2 linked regions of the Arabidopsis thaliana genome follow. The protein of the gene in region 2 interacts with the protein of the main gene of each other region in a pairwise test. Each region holds a gene or a part of one and is shown on either strand. Other genes may lie near its edges.

Evidence for each region.
Region 1: the proteins of AT1G72180 (region 2) and AT1G51340 interact in a protein complementation assay, tested with the Arabidopsis thaliana proteins (one large-scale study listed by BioGRID).

Annotation. Positions count from the first base shown.
Region 1 is NC_003070.9:19,028,158-19,036,094, reverse strand, and holds AT1G51340 (MATE efflux family protein), read right to left. Parts: upstream 5,098-7,937; 5' UTR 4,722-5,097; intron 4,422-4,721; exon of another isoform or gene 4,419-4,421; 5' UTR 4,278-4,418; intron 4,198-4,277; 5' UTR 4,075-4,197; coding exon 4,004-4,074; intron 3,917-4,003; coding exon 3,795-3,916; intron 3,694-3,794; coding exon 3,472-3,693; intron 3,386-3,471; coding exon 3,201-3,385; intron 3,124-3,200; coding exon 2,988-3,123; intron 2,882-2,987; coding exon 2,785-2,881; intron 2,699-2,784; coding exon 2,598-2,698; intron 2,494-2,597; coding exon 2,330-2,493; intron 2,244-2,329; coding exon 2,172-2,243; intron 1,975-2,171; coding exon 1,858-1,974; intron 1,767-1,857; coding exon 1,549-1,766; intron 1,457-1,548; coding exon 1,414-1,456; 3' UTR 988-1,413; downstream 1-987. Other genes in the region: AT1G51350 (ARM repeat superfamily protein), read right to left, coding at 1-244; AT1G51330 (Serine protease inhibitor (SERPIN) family protein), read left to right, coding at 6,251-6,343, 6,602-6,927, 7,092-7,254. UniProt on the Arabidopsis thaliana protein: Citrate transporter critical for aluminum tolerance. Responsible for citrate exudation into the rhizosphere to protect roots from aluminum toxicity.
Region 2 is NC_003070.9:27,160,446-27,169,114, reverse strand, and holds AT1G72180 (Leucine-rich receptor-like protein kinase family protein), read right to left. Parts: upstream 6,296-8,669; 5' UTR 5,940-6,295; intron 5,119-5,939; 5' UTR 5,042-5,118; coding exon 2,679-5,041; intron 2,576-2,678; coding exon 2,367-2,575; intron 2,273-2,366; coding exon 1,911-2,272; 3' UTR 1,685-1,910; downstream 1-1,684. Other genes in the region: AT1G72190 (D-isomer specific 2-hydroxyacid dehydrogenase family protein), read left to right, coding at 30-174, 279-406, 520-591, 687-804, 885-982, 1,116-1,157, 1,284-1,496, 1,589-1,657. UniProt on the Arabidopsis thaliana protein: Receptor kinase involved in the perception of C-terminally encoded plant signaling peptide (CEP) and subsequent regulation of root and shoot development.

The sequences.
Region 1 (7,937 bases), 8.1 Mb from region 2:
TGTTATTACATTCATCAGAATCGTCAGCATCAGCGAGAACAGAAGCTATGGCGGGAATAGCTCCGAGTTTGAGAAAAGAGAGCTTTTTTGTACGATTTCCGATAATCTGGTTTTTGACCTCGCGAAGGGCCTTAAGCTTGACTTCAGGGTCAGAAGAAGCGAGACGAGAGAATACATCGGATTGACGATTGTTACCGGAGGCAGAGGAGGAGGAAGAAGCGGAGGAGGTGGTGGTGGTAGGCATGGCGGAGATTTAGTTTCTCCGGTAAATCGGAAAAAGGGTAATTGAGTTTTGGCTTAGATTGGAAAAGAATGGCAGAGGAGTTCCGTAAAGGTTTCTACTTTTTTTTGTTTTGGTCTTGTTTTTAATTTTGCTAATAAAGATTGGAATTTTATTTTTGGTTTAAAGTAATAATTGAGGGTGGCTATGAGCCAATCATGTTGAAGAAAAGAGTTTTCTAAACATAGGCCTTATTAAATTTTATTTTATTTTATTATTTGCAATTTTTGTAAAAAAAATTGTAGATCGGTTGAGATTCAATTATACGATATTTATTCTTATAAGTTTGGATATTATAGAAATATATAATATGTGACAAATACCTCCACTCTTTTATTTTATAAATGTTTTTTATTAATGAATTTTCACGTATTTTAGAAATGTCAAACTATTTATATTTAATAGATGATAAATTTTATCAATCTAGTTAATAAACTGAAGTGTAATGTGAATAGAGTTAGCACTTTGTTTATAAATATGTATTGCATATTCAGAATGTGTTTTTTTTTTCTAATGAAGAAAAAAACAAAACATATATTTTTAAAATGAATTTTCTTTGATAAACTCCTATCCAAAACTAAACCAAAAAGAAAAGAAGAAAAATTAAATCAAAACTCTTATATTCAAACAAACCATATTTCTCACGAAATTCACTCAGTTTATTTTTTAATTACTTGTTTTAAGAAAGATGAATCTGATTTGAAACCACTGTTGTCAAAACCAAACCAGCTGATATATTTTGTATTTCACGAACCACAAAATCTGAAACAAAACCAAACCAAAACTGACATCCTAATTATATCATTTGAGAAGTCATATTCGAACTACTTGTTTTGAAAAAATTAATCTGAAGTTCAACACTATAGTCAACCAAACAAAAATCAGTTTCTATATGTTCTATCGATTTTCTATATTTAACTACAATATCTGAAATAAAACCTCCAAAAATTGGACTAACCACCTCTAATTACAGGATACAACTTGAATATTTACAAGAGTAGCAGTAAAAATCGCATAGAATTATTTGAATCTCCAGACTTGTACTCTTGGTATTTTTATTTAGTTACACAACCTCATTAGAAATAAAGGTTTAAGAACAGTTAAAACATGCTCTTCCCTCTAAAATTCCTTCTTCAGCTCCTAAGAAAAGACCAAGGTCCTGTTCCTGTCCCAATCCTGTTACAGTCACATTTACATTCTGTTATAAGAAAGTTGGAAAAGTTTTTACATTTGTACTACAAGAAACAGAGAGTTTCACAAAGTTTTACCGCCAGAATCCAACGGCTGCTCTAAGACTCATGTAAATGGTGAGACCAAACCAAAGTCCAATAAAACCATGAGTCGATGAGAGGAAGAGCAAACACAAGATGCTAACTATAGCCACCATTACTAATGAAGCTGCGGCGTAACCGAAATCGGATGCTCCAAAGTTAACTCCATCGAACACAAACGCTAAGGCATTAATTGGTTGTGTCCCTGCCACAAACTTTAGGAAACAAGAAATGATTTTTAGCCAAATTAATGTTACGTAATAATATTGATCCTGATTAGTGGTTTAATGGGAAATGATTAGTTACCGGAAGTCCTATGCTAATTAGGTGTAAAACTTTATCGTCTTTTGTAAACACTCTTGCTCCAAAATGCAATCCTGCTCCAAGTATAACCGCAAGTACAAAACCGAGAACCAATCCCAACTGTCACAAGATTTAGTTCTTTAGCTTTAAATTGATCTAGAATCGAATCTTTATAAGCTAAAGTACACATAGGCCTCCATTGTTTGTTTGCCTTTGAATTACCTATTATGTATACTTTCTGTGTATATTTTCTTCATATAAATCCAAAATCGTAAACATAATGTAAACGCAAACACAAATGCATAAATTGTGTGTACCTGCAGTACACGAGAGGCGGTAGCTGCTGCTCTTTTGTAGTCTTTTTTGGCAAACGCGCTCGCTAGTATTGCCTAAAGGAAAAGACATTTGTTAAAACTTTAAACCACGCGCTTAATCGTAAAAGGATGCAATGTTAGAGACATCATTATCTAAAAACCTGGCCAGCTACGGCGTACCCGTCTGCAAGAAGTGAAGTAGCTAACCAAACCTGCAAGCAAACTTGGAAAGCTGCCATGGAAGTTGATCCTTCTCGTGCAGCTAGTGACGCGGAGAGAGTTACACAGAATGTTACTGCAATTACTCTCATCAGCAAAAGAAAGCCTGGGAGAGAAATATTTCACAAGAAAACAAGAACCAAACAGTGTTATTTTATCAGAGATTTCATTGTAAACACATTGAATTTTCTTTGAAGTATTTTACAATACCATTTTTCATGAATCTACAGAACTGAAGATGTTTGGTACTCATGTTGAAGATATCAACTTGACCCATCAGTTTCCACAAGAGTATTCCACACATAAGGTATCTGAAAATGAACATAGAAACCACTAGTCAATTAAAGTAGAGGCCATTTTGAGATTATTCAAGGTTCACATGCAAAACTAAACTCACTGGGATATAACATGAGCAGTGGCTGCTCCTGTTACGCCTAGGCGGAAAACAAATATGAAAATCGGGTCGAGTATTATGTTTGTTACATCTCCAATCACTACAAAAAAAAAGTGGATCATTAATCATCAAACAAGAAAAGTAAAGTGGATCATTAGCTTTGTTCTGTTTTAAGGATTTTGAACATATGAAAAAAATAGTATTACCAGTAGCGAATAACGGAGTTGTCGTGTCTTTAAATCCGCGGAAAACGCCTTGTGCCGCAAGTGAGAGTAGAACAGCTGGTGCACCAAGTGATCTTAAAGATAGATATCTCTGAGAAGGTCTCATCATTGGAGAATCCTGAAAAAATCAAACCATGTTAAGTGATTTTGAATCTCATAACATCATTTATAGAGAACAAAAGATCGATACGTTACGTGTTTTACTCCCATGAAACTCAAGAGAGGTTTGGCTGCGGATATAAGAAACACGGCTTGAAAAAGGCCGAGAACGCCTCCAATGATTAAAGCAGATGAAGCTGATGGTATGTTTCTTTTCTTGGCTGGAGGTTTACTAATACTAAAGATACTGCTACTGGTTTTAAATTCATCTGATAAAGAATCTGAAATAAAAATGAATATACTTGTGATTATTACCACCACAAAAAAAAACAGAGGAGTGATTATGTTAGCAAGAACAAATATATACCTTTATGTTTTTCAGGAATCAATTCTATAGTTTCCTCAGTTGGATTGTTGATACCAATTTCAATACATTCTTTATGATCTCGGACTGTGTCTTGCTGAGAACTACAAGCATCTTCTTCTGCTACAAAGGAAGTTGTGATGCTAACAAGTGGGAAAATAGCAATTCTTGAAACTTGGTTGAATAAAGCAATAGAAACTCCAACTGCAGCAAGCTCTACAGGACCTATCAGTCATCACCACAACAAGAACCGAAAATTACACCAATAATTTTCATTTATAAAATAACAATAAACAAATGAAAAGAGTTGTTGTTCTTGTTGTTACCAATTTGGCCTATGAAGGCTGTGTCAACTAGAGATGCAATAGGATCAGCTGTTAAAGCAAGTGCTGCGGGTAAAGCAATTCGCGCTATCTCTAAACCGAGCTCATCAAATTTCAGAACTGATCTGATACATCAAAGAAAAACCAATTCTCAAGTTTCACTTCTTGAGGCCATGACCTCAAACAGAATTATACAAGAAAATATATTTTACCTGAAATCACTAAAGAAAATGTATAGAGGGTTTCTTGGAAAATCTGTGTTGTAGCCATCTTCAGACATCATTAAGAGATGTTACTGAAGCTTCTTGAGTCTCTTAGCGTCACAAGTACATATAAGAATATGTATACAGAATCTAGCAAAGTAAATGATTCTCGGTTAGGTTGGTGACATTTCATTAGGTGCCCCCTAGAAAAAGATAAAAAGAGAATTATTTCATTTTCAGGAATAAAGTTGTGTGGAGGCTAATAACCACATATTACAATTACCTTAGAATTCAAATAATTGATGACTTTAAGTCAAACTCCAATTTTGTGTTGCCTCCAGAAATCTAGAGGGTTCCAGAAAATCCCAAAATTTGTTCTAAGAACAATTTAGCCTTGGATCATAGGCTGAAACTTTCCCCACCTCTTCATATACCAAAAAGTAAAATATAGAAAAACATCAAAAGAAATAAGAAGAGATTAAGAAGAGAAAGTTGGTTATAACCACAAATTTTCTATCACTAAAAGTTTGGTTAATGTCAATTACCAAAGAAAAATCGAAAAACTTGATTTTAATTAATGAGAGATAGCTACCCAACAATTTGACGAAACCTTTATGAAAAAAACAAACAAAAAAAGGAATTTTACTTTATTCCAAAATGTGTAGAATTTGAAAAAGTGATTAAGAACGAAGATAGCAAAAGAATGTAACGTAAAAGAAGAACCCACCTTTTTTTCTGAACCAAGAAGAGAGGTCAACAATGTCTCTTTACTTTTTTCTATTTTCACGAAACAGTTTCCAAGCAAAACTTTTACGAAACAATTTCCCAGAAATTACAAACCAACAAAACAAATCCTCAGTTTATGTTCTCTAGCAGTTTGGCGAATGTTGCACTCTGTTTTGGACTTTGGACCAAATAAATAGAGTCAAATTCAGATAGGGTTTTGGAAATAAATCTCGATGGATTCGAATGATATGAAAAAATGGAAACAATGAAGGAGTAGGAAAGTTGACAATAACAAAAAGAAATCAAAAAATGATTTCGAAAAACAAATGGTTGAGACTAAGCAGATGCGTGTAGATGGAAGGTGGAACGTGTTTTAAGTTTAAACATTCGAGAACATATTAATTATTTTCTTTCTTTTAAAAGGAAAATATGTACTTTTAGAATATAAAATAAATATTTTGTCCAAGAAAAAATAATAATTAAAATCGTGAACCATGACTATTACTTTCCCAAAAAAATGATTTAACTGGTGAAATAAGGTTTATTTATTTAATTCCACATATATATTTTATTTTTTGTTACAATTATACAATTTTCATCTAATATATATTGATTTTTTTTTTTTGTAAATCACTTTTTTTTTTGTCAACTACACTTAATTAAAAATAACTCCATAATTAGTTGCCTAATAAGATTTATAAAAAAAAATTGGTCAAACTATCCGATGATTCTTTTAAATAAACTTTGAATATGATATGAAAACATTTAACTTAATTGTATTTACAAAAACGATTCAGCATGTTGAATATATACGTTTTTCTAAACAATATTTGTCATATATACCCTCCTAGGATATGCACTAAGATGCTTAATTGAGTTTAGAAAATGTGAAACTGCTAATAATAATAATATATTAGATAATTTTACTTTAATCAGAAATAACCTTTCCCATAGGTACCTTTCCGATATGCACCTCTAAGCTATGTCCTATGTGAATTAAGGTAGATTTAGATTATTTTTTATTTTTTATTTTTTATTTCCTGTATGTGGTGGAGAATCAGAATTAGTTTTTTTCTTCCAAAGTAATAAATTTAAAAATCTTTGCAAAATAGGAAGGTAATTTGTTTTTTTTTAAGAAACAAACAAAATATAATTGATTGAAGTGCAAAGCGATTGGTGTTAGAAAAAAAAGGAAGTGCAAGAGCGATTTGATGATTTGTTTTGGACATCTTTTTTCGGTCATTGTTCAAAATTATAATTAATAAAATATATACTCATTAGAATCAATAAAGTAAAAATATTTGGTTTTGTTGAAAAGGGGTTTTAGGCCGACCACACATTACAATTTACTTACATCAAATTATTGATGACTTGAAGTTAATGTTGTGTTAAGTGTCAACATGACATACGATAGATTTTCGAGGGAAAATGGTAGTTCACATAAGCTGGATTAAGTTTTTGTGTGAGATTAATTGTGCATCTAGTAGATAAAGAATTCAAAATGTCATTCCAAAAATCTTTAATGGTAACATGAGGAGAGAGTATGGTTCTGTTTCCGCGAAATCGCTTCCGTTGTCCTTGTCGAAGGAAGCTAAAGAGGTGGTCCACGCGGCAGTCAATGGAGTATAGATAGAGAATTCACTTTCGTGTAGTCCCAGGTCCAAGGATCTCTTTGAGAATTTCTTCAAGCTGATTTTGCTCAAGTTGATTTCCTATCTTTTAGGTTTCGAATTTCTATAAATAAATTAGGTCAACAGATGTTTGACACTGTACACTTAAGTGCTTAGAGAAACTACATATATATATATATATATATATATATGTGTGTGTGTGTGATCTTTGGTTTGTGGTATTGTGTTAATGGTTTTTGTTGTTTTGAAGGCCGAGGAAGTGCGTATGGAGGTGAACTCGTGGGCTTTACGTCACACCAATGGTCTCATCAAAAATCTTCTACCTCCTGGATCTGTTACAAACCAAACCATTAAGATTTATGGAAACGCACTGTACTTCAAGGGAGCTTGGGAAAACAAATTCGGTAAGTCAATGACGATACACAAACCTTTCCACCTTGTCAATGGCAAACAAGTACTTGTGCCTTTCATGAAAAGCTATGAAAGAAAATATATGAAGGCTTACAATGGTTTCAAGGTCCTTAGAATACTACAATACCGAGTAGACTATAAGGATACAAGTCGCCAATTCTCAATGTATTTCTTTCTACCGGACAAGAAAGATGGATTGGATAAGCCTGTCGAGGAAATAACATCTAGTTATGGATTCTAGGACAGCCACATTCCGAGATGGAAAGATAGAGTTGGTGAATTCAGAATTCCAAATTTTGAGATTGTTTTGAAGCTTCAAGAGTTTTCAGTGACATGGATCTTAATGTTTTGATTGAGATCGATGAAGAAAGTGCAGAAGCTGCGGCTGCTACTGCTCTAGCTTGCACAGTTGCACTTGTGTGGCTGCAGCGCTATTATGCCGCCTCCTCCCATAGATTTTGTGGCAGATTATCCATTTCTTTTCTTGATTAGAGAAGACAAACTTGAACTGTTTTGTTCGTTGGCCAAATCTTTGATCTTTCGGTATCTTCTTCTACTTAGGATGGCATTAACCGGATCAGAGTTTGGAATTTTAAGATTTAGTTCTTCATGTAATTCTTCAATTTTTTTTAACTCTATCTTTTCATTTTTTTTTATCTTAATATAATCAAAGTAATCAAATTTGTTTCAACTTTTAATTTACTCTCATTGTGATTTTAGTTTTATTTTTCCATTTTGAAAATAAAATAAAATATTTTTAACTTTTTTTCAATAGGCGTATCCAAATAAGAAATTTATCCAAATTAAACCATTCCGGATTCTTTTATTTCACATTTCAACTACATAAAAGAAATATACATTTTAATAAGTTCATAATCTTATGCTACTTAATTTTATTAATAATTTTGTAAATTGTTTCTTATGCTATTTAATTTTATTTTAATTTTATAACAATTAAATTTTATGCTATTTAATTTTAAAATATGTTAAAGATATTCAGTATTTCCGAATATTTGCTATTTGTTTTTTGGTTGACTGAAAAATTAAATATTTTCCTTAAAAAATCTATGAATTGCACAATTTGATAGCTCTAGAAGTTTATGGAAACATTAATTTATGTAAATTATGTGTACAGAAATGAAGAATGAAATCTCAGATGATAGACTAACTAAGTC
Region 2 (8,669 bases):
TTTGTTTTGTATGGTTTTGGTTCATATAGGTTGATGTTGTCCATTACCGCGATGTCCCTGAGGTTATTAAGAACTATCATATATGTGTGGCAATGACTATGCAAATGGATTCAAATGTTATATCTCGTGCAAGCAACATAAAGCTTATTATGCAGTACGGTGTTGGTCTCGACGGTATCTGTCTCAGTTTTCTTATGCATTAATACTCGATAGAGCATAAATGGACTCATCTTAAGCTGCAATTTTACTTAACTATTTCAAGTCATTTACTTGTGAAGGTGTTGACATTGATGCTGCTACTAAACATGGGATTAAGGTCGCTAGAATTCCTAGTGAGGGTACTGGAAATGCTGCATCTTGCTCTGAGATGGCTATATATCTAATGCTGGGACTTCTTAAGAAACAGGTGTTTATTTGATTTGCCTCTGTATGGTTCCATTAGTATAACTCTTAAGTGTCTCAAGTGCTAGTTCTGATATTTCTTTCTTAGCTAAAGGTAATTCGTACGACATGTTGCAGAACGAAATGCAAATATCTCTGAGAAATAGACTACTTGGAGAACCAACCGGTGACACGCTTCTTGGTAAAACTGTGAGTCTTAGAGTGATCTTAAATCTGCATTAGATATCTTTTGGCTTATATCCCTAAACAAAGTTTGTTTGTTTTTCTTTCTTTCTATTATACAGGTATTTATCTTAGGATATGGAAACATCGGAATAGAGCTGGCTAAACGGTTGAAGCCATTTGGGTCGAGAGTAATAGCCACGAAAAGATTCTGGCCTGCTTCTATCGTCGACTCAGACTGTATGGGTTCTCTTTTAACTCCTCTGTTTGCCTTGACAAACCATCCTGAGGTCTAGTAATTTGTTAACTTATATCTTCAGCCAGGCTAGTTGATGAGAAAGGTAGCCATGAAGACATTTACACATTCGCTGGCAAAGCCGATATAGTCGTTGTTTGTTTGAGGCTCAACAAAGAAACGGTAATATTTCCACTTCTCCTTCATCATAAACTTGTCAAGCAAATGAATATGAAGAGTTGTTCTTGGCAGTGAAAAATATATCTGCAATTTAGATAATATGGCTATTGTTTCTTCTACATGATGACATTTTCAGGCTGAAATAGTGAATAAGGAGTTCATATGCTCAATGAAAAAGGTGATTACCGGGGCTATTCATATTTGGAAAAACCGAGTTGAATTTTTTTTTTTTTTTTTTGTCGTCAACGGAGTTGAATTATTTTGTGATTACTGGTGACTGTTGACTTCTCTTTGGTTGTTTCAGGGTGCTCTTCTTGTAAATATTGCCCGAGGTGGTCTTATTAACTATGAATCAGCTTTCCAGAATCTGGAGTCCGGTCATCTAGGAGGCCTTGGGATTGATGTGGCGTGGTCTGAGCCGTTTGATCCAAATGATCCTATTTTGAAGTTCAAAAACGTTATAATAACCCCTCATGTCGCTGGAGTTACCGAATATTCATATAGGTCCATGGCCAAGGTAAACTCATCCAAGGAAGATTCACTCTTTCTGATATGTCTTCTGCATTTGGTTGGAAATGGATTCTAAACTCTTACTGTTGTTAAATGTAGATTGTCGGAGACCTCGCGCTTCAGTTGCATGAAGGACTTCCTCTCACCGGAATCGAATTCGTCAATTAAGAGGTAACATTTTCGTGTATTATCGTCACAAGAATAATATCCTGTAACACACACCCACAGTAGTTAATATAAATTAATCCAAGTCTCTTTCTGATAACTCCGACCTTTCACTGCAAACTTTTTAGTACAACGGATTAGTAAATAAGCAAAAACCAATCTCTCGTACTTTTACTCAAGTCTCGAACAAACTGATACTTCTTTGACCAGTGACTAGTCTTAACCATAACTAAAACGTGGTAGGTGAATCATCAATCTATACTGTAATCTTTCCAGTTGTGTCTTGAGAATTGGAGACACAGGGATCAGCGTCGTCAAGCTTTCTCACGACCTCTCTCATACTCGGTCTGAGATTCGGGAGCTTCGTAGTGCAGAGAAGACCCATCTTCAGAACTCTAATCATGCTTTCTTCTATATAAGTGGACAAAACTTGCTTGTCCAAAACATTTTGAAGGTTCCTCGGATCTTGTTGAATCTGAGAGTAGACATAGTCAACAATGTCTTTCCCCTCTCCAAACTCGTCTTCCATAGGCCGAAGACCGGTAACTAGCTCTAGAAGAACCACACCGAAGCTGTACACATCACTCTTTTCCGTTGCCTTGAAGGAGTAAGCCAGCTCTGCAGTGATCATATCACACAATTACAACAAAAAAGAATCAGTTCCCAGTTTTCATCTTGTGAACCAAAGTTTATAGTTAAGTTGGAAACTCACCAGGAGCCATATAGCCATGAGTTCCAGCAACGCAGCTCCATTCATATCCTTTGTCTGCAACTTTTGCAACTCCAAAATCTGCGATTTTCGACTCATAATCTCCGTCAAGTAAAATGTTGCTTGACTTTATATCTCTGTGAATGATGGGTGGACAACAATCATGATGCAAATATGCGATTCCTTTTGCCGCTCCCACCGCAATTTTATATCTGTTTATCCAACAAAAAGGGACAAATTAATCACTTTTCTTTCTTATAATCTTGGATCCATGATTAACCATTTTGAAACTGGTTCTTATTGACTAGAGAGTACCTTTTGAGCCAATCCAGTTCTGGTAGACCGCCTTTAATATTGTTGCCAAGAGCTTGATACAAGTTCCCATTCTCCATGAACTCAAACACCAAATATCTAGAACCTCTTCCAACCAAACAAGCGTAGAGTTTCAACACGTTTCTGTGTCTAATCTTTCCAAGAATCTCCATCTCCGCAACAGAGACCTCTGTTCCATCACCTTCTTCTCCTCCTCCTCTCTTCAACCACTTAACCGCCACTGTCCCGCCACCTTTTTTCAAATCAACACGGTACACTTTTCCTGCACTTCCAGATCCAATCACATGATCTTCATCCAATCTACAAATCTCATCAACGTCCAACTCCATTTGATGAAAAGACGCGATTTTCCACTTCGCATCCGCCTTGTTGATATCTCTGTTTTCCGAATCAAGCTCACGTATCTTCACAACTCTGTAACGCAACGCGAACAAACCACTCACTAGTACTACCACAACAATTGCAAGAGCCAAGAACAAGAGTGTTCCATCGAGTGAACTATTCCTCTTCACGTTTTGGTAGCCACTGCAAATACTCAACCCCAAGTTCTGATTTGTTTTAGCGTTCTCTTTATCAACACAGAGCTTCTCGTTACGTGAGAACGCGGTGGATCCTCCCACCGCTAAAAGATCCGGTGGTATTCTTCCTGAAAGTTGATTTCCAGACAAGTCAATGAAACTCAGCTTCAACTTCACAAGACTCGCCGGGATTTCACCTGTTAGCCTATTCCCTGAGAAATCCAACGAGTTTAAAGAAGCAATCTGAGATAAACTGTTAGGGATTTCTCCGGTCAAGAAGTTCTTAGCGAGATTCAGATCAACAAGTTTGACACAATTCTTCAATTCCTTAGGGATAAATCCTGTTAATGAATTGTTTTCAAGATGCAGAGATGATAACTCTTTCAAATCTCCAACTTCCATCGGAATTTCGCCGGAAAGATTGTTGTTGCTCAGATAAATCCTCTCTATATTAGTCAATCTTCCGAGCTCACGAGGAATCTTGCCGGAAAATCTGTTGTTCTGTAAAATGAGCTGACTCAGTTCTGTTGAAAGTCCAATCTGAGGAGAAACCTCTCCGGTGAGTTCGTTATCGCTGAGATCAATCATCTTAGCAAGCGGTAGAGACCAGAATCCTTCAACAACTTGACCACTTAGACGGTTGTTGTTAATCCTTAGTCTCAATAGAGATTTGCACTCGCCGTAAGATCTCGGAATCTCGCCGGAAAACTCGTTCTGCAAGGCGAGCAAGAATTGTAGTTTCTTGTTTTGGCATAAGAATCTTGGAAATGGACCAGTAAACTCGTTTTCAGATATATCAACCGTGTCGAGCGGCGAGAACCGGCCGATGTTAACCGGAAATTCACCGGAGAAGTTGTTTCTATAAATCGAAAGAGAAGTGAGGTGACTTAGATCGCCGAAACCAGAAGGAAATTCGCCGGTGAAGTTGTTTTCATGACAGTGGAAAACTCTGAGCTCCTTCAAAACTCCGAGTTCTTCAGGTAAAACCCCGCTCAACTGATTCGAAGAGATGTCGAATTCGCGTAAACGAGTCAAGTTCTTTATCTCCGGAGGGATTTTACCTGTTAAGCTGTTGTTGAACAACTCAATCTTGGTGAGATTTACCAATCTTGAGATTAAGATTGGGAAATCATCGGAGATTGCGTTGTTCGCGATGTCGAAAGTGTCGAGAGCATTCAGATCAAAGATCGAGTTTGGAATCTTCCCGGTCAAGTTGGAGCGAGCTAAGAACAGCCAAGTAAGTTTCTTTAAACCTCCAATACTCTCAGGAATTATACCTTCTTCGTAGTGATTGTTGCCAAGACCGAGAGAAACCAACTGATTCATATTCCCAATCCAGCTTTGAAACTCTCCGTTAAGAAAATTCCCGGAGATGTCGAGAATTTCTAGGGACTTTAGAGGAGAAAGGTTTGGGATTGTTCCGGAGAGTCTGTTGGAGGTGAGATTGAGAACTTTAAGGTTTTTGCAGTTGACTATCTCTGGCGGGATTCTTCCGGAGATGAAGTTAGATGGAAGCGATAGCGTAGAGAGCTTTGTGAGAGCTGAGATTGATGGAGAAATGGTGCCGGAGAGATTTACGTTTCCTAGAGAAATACCGATGACTTCGCCGGATAACGGGTCGCATGTGATGCCGCGAAACACGCATGGTGAATCGGAAGGCTTCCAAGATTGTAGAATGTTGTGAGAGTCGTCGAGGCGGTTTTTGAAGCGAAACAGAGCTTGTTTCTCAACGGTCGATTCAACATTCGGCGGGAAAATGAAGAGGAGAAACGTGGCAGCCACGGTGGCGACCACGCTGCCACGTAGGAGGTCTGGTCTTCTCGACATTTATAGTGATTCCCAAGGGCAAAACGGTCAATTTGTAGTTTAGGTGTTGATCATGGTCGATGCACTGGAATTCCCACCTACATAGAAAAATAAAGATATGAAATCAACAAACTAACCACTATACAATTAATAATCCACTCAAAATAAATTTGATATTTTAATGTATGGGATTTTCATAGTATTATGGTTTTCCAATTGTGTTTACTGTTTATTATTATTATATTCTATGCACGTATATTACTATATATATAAAAAATCAATCATAGCAAAGATTTTGTAAGAAGAATGGGTGCATGTGATTTGTGAACAGTTTTGTATAAATCATAAATTAGTTGTGATACATTTATACATCATGTATGGTAGATGGACATATTAAGCTTGCTTAAGTACACAAACTCCAAAAGTGAGCTTTAAAGGTACTCATTACAGTGCAGAAAGTTTATTATCCTTCTCCTAAATTTTCAGTTTCTTAATTATTTTGTTTGAAAGTAAAGCAAATGATCTATCTTTACTCTCTCTCTCTCCTTCTAAATCTGTGAATATAAACTTTAAAAGCATTGAATTTTAATGAAAAAAGAACAACACAACATTGAGAATTGAGTATCTATCAAGGATTAATGATTAAAAAGGTAATTAAATAAACAATCAAGTTAAAAATGAGTCATGCAGATTGTAGTTAGTGGATAAAGTAATTATGTTATTAGTAGAGCTAGTAACCTACACATTTGAAAATTTGAAATTTATAGAAACTTTTTCACAGAATCTATCCTTTAAATCTTTGGAAATAAAACAACCTTAGATTGAGTAAAGAAAACAAATATGTGAGGCTTAAAGATTCAAAACTTAAAACCAAGAAAAGCAACGGGATTAAACAAAATATAATGAAGAATTATCGTACCTGAAATAGATGAAACCTATCCAAAATCTCAGGTTAGTGAATGGATGATCCTTCTTAAATTTGAGAGATTTCAAACAAAGACAGGGGAGATGATTTTGATTTGTGGTTTCTGGTAAGAAAAAAGGAATGAACCTTTTTGTGTGATTTTCTTGGACCACGTTCTAGGAAAATCTCTAGGAAACAACAAAAAGCAGAAGAAGTCCTAATTTCGAGGAAGTTCTTCGATTATCAACTTAATTTAGTTTCTCTCAAAAGATAGAATTCGATGAAGAACAGTTCCAGAGAAAGATGTCTCCAAGAAATACGAAAGAGAGAGAGATTTGAGAAGAGAGGAGAGAGGAAAGAGAAGTGAGAAGAGACAAGAGAAAGTTGTCGTCGAGACTTGGAGCCAAAAAGGTTAAATCATTTATCAAAAAATCAACTATTTCTCTAGCTAGCTTCTCTCACCATACAATTCATGTTCGTGAAAGTTGTAAAAACTTTTAAAGTTAATAAAAATCATCTGACTATACTGATTTTGACATATAATATGTTATGATGATCTTTCTTTATAGTTAGCGTCGCTCTCAGGTTAAGAAAATCCAACGGTGCTTATATAGTTTTCTAATATATAAAAGAGGATCAACAACAGACATTGACCTAAAAAATTAGTTTCATGGATGTAGAAAAACATTCATCTTTCGGTTAATGTTTCTAGATGGATTGATAATAAGTGGAGATTCATTGTAATAAAACATTTTAAAATTTATTATTATAATGATACGTCATTGTCTGGAAAATAATCTTATTTGATATTTGTTTTTGTCATAGCGATAATTGTTCCTATTGGAATTAGTAGCAACTACTAGTTGTATATGTCCAAAACGTTACGTGAAAACATTTACATTCATATAGTTCCTATATATAAGATGATAAAAATAAAAGTGAAAAAATATTACTAGTATATAATTAGGAAATGCTGATTTATTGGATTTTACTTTTAAAGTGGAGATCAATTACAATAAATAATGAAAGCTTGGAGAAACCTATGAAGGTTACTAGAAAAAAATAAGCAACGAATCGTATTGATCCCAAATAGTTAGGCCGAAAAAAAAAACATTTTTGGTTTCTTCTGTAGTGTTAATATTCGTTTACAGTCTGGAAAATAAATTAAAATTAAAGAACCAAAAAAGAAAGAGAGAACTAAAATGTTGTTGGGTCGATTACCCTTTTAAGTGAAGTTTGATAAGAATCGTCTAACCTACTCAATGTCCTTTTCTTTCTACATCCATCTCTCTAATGTTATCCCCTTATGCTCCGAATCCCATTCTGATTTATCTCCAAGTTTTATATCACATATTTATTATGAAAACTTATAATTGCTTATTCTCTTTCTGATTGATATCAATGTGTGATGGCCTTGGGTCCTATGGCATCGTTTAGCCACTAAAAGTTAAAACACAAATTAAAGGACCATAATACAGTAAAATATTTAGAAACGGTAATAGATAGTGAAATGGTTAGTATATGATGATTATGTGGTTATAAATGTACCCCTTTCACTGAATCACTTTGTTTTCATGCTCACTTCACTCGATTGGTAATTATTCAAACTTACAAATGAAATTCCATAAAGTTATGGCCCTTACAAGGTTATCATCCTACATGTTAGAATAGTATATAGTATGTTGCTTCTTTATTTTATTAAGAAAAATCTAAGATAATGATTTAAAAAGTGAGACAATACACGAGAAAGAAATCAGAGACAGTCAATAACAAAAACAAAAAGTAGATGAGAATACTATAAAAAAAAAATCCCCCCATACATTTGGCCAAAATCAATAATACTAACATAGTTTTTTTAAGAGTATACAAAATGGAATTTTAGCTATTGCAAGAAAAAAAAAAAACTTCTCTTTAGTTGTTTAAATACTAATACTTTCTACTGAATAATAAAGTATTAACCGTGATACCTAATAAATTTTCTTGTGTCGGTTTAAATGGGAAGAGATACGGTTTAATAAAGGGATATGTGAGTGAGAATCAAAAGATCTTTGATTTGGATGTTGACTTCCCCAGCTGTATCCCTTCCCTTTCTCATTTGGTTCCTTTATTTTCCCAGTCGCTTTCCACATTGTTTGCTCTATATATACATATATATCACACAAAAATATTCTATTGGTAGAGACATTAGAGAATTTAAAGTTTTATTATCGCTAGAGACAAACACTAGTGTTAGATATGATCTATGTTTTAGTTATTCGTTGTTGAGTATACTTAAAAATTAGATACTTTACATACATATAATAATGCACCATAAAATTGCATAAACATAATGTATCAAGCATTGCAAAATTCCATCAAGTAAAGGTAATTTTGACCAAAATATTTTGAGCTTATTTGAAACAGGACATTGAATATAGATGACGGTTTCATTTTGAAGAAAATATAGCTAGCAAATAGTGACAGTAGGCCCGAAGTTAGCTAAAAATATAAATATTTACAATAATGTAAACGTGGGTGTCTCTATAATTTGTCGAGTAGGACCGTCCCACAATGATAATAATATTGATCGGACGAGAAACTGATCAGAAGAGCATATCTGTCTCCATACCTCTACTAACACAACGTCACGTCATTACAATACATTTGTTTACAAGACAAGATTATGCAACTTCATGGGCGATTCACTATTTTACTAATTTACATACTTTTGTATAATTAATACCCGTTATAGGTAACACTAAATTC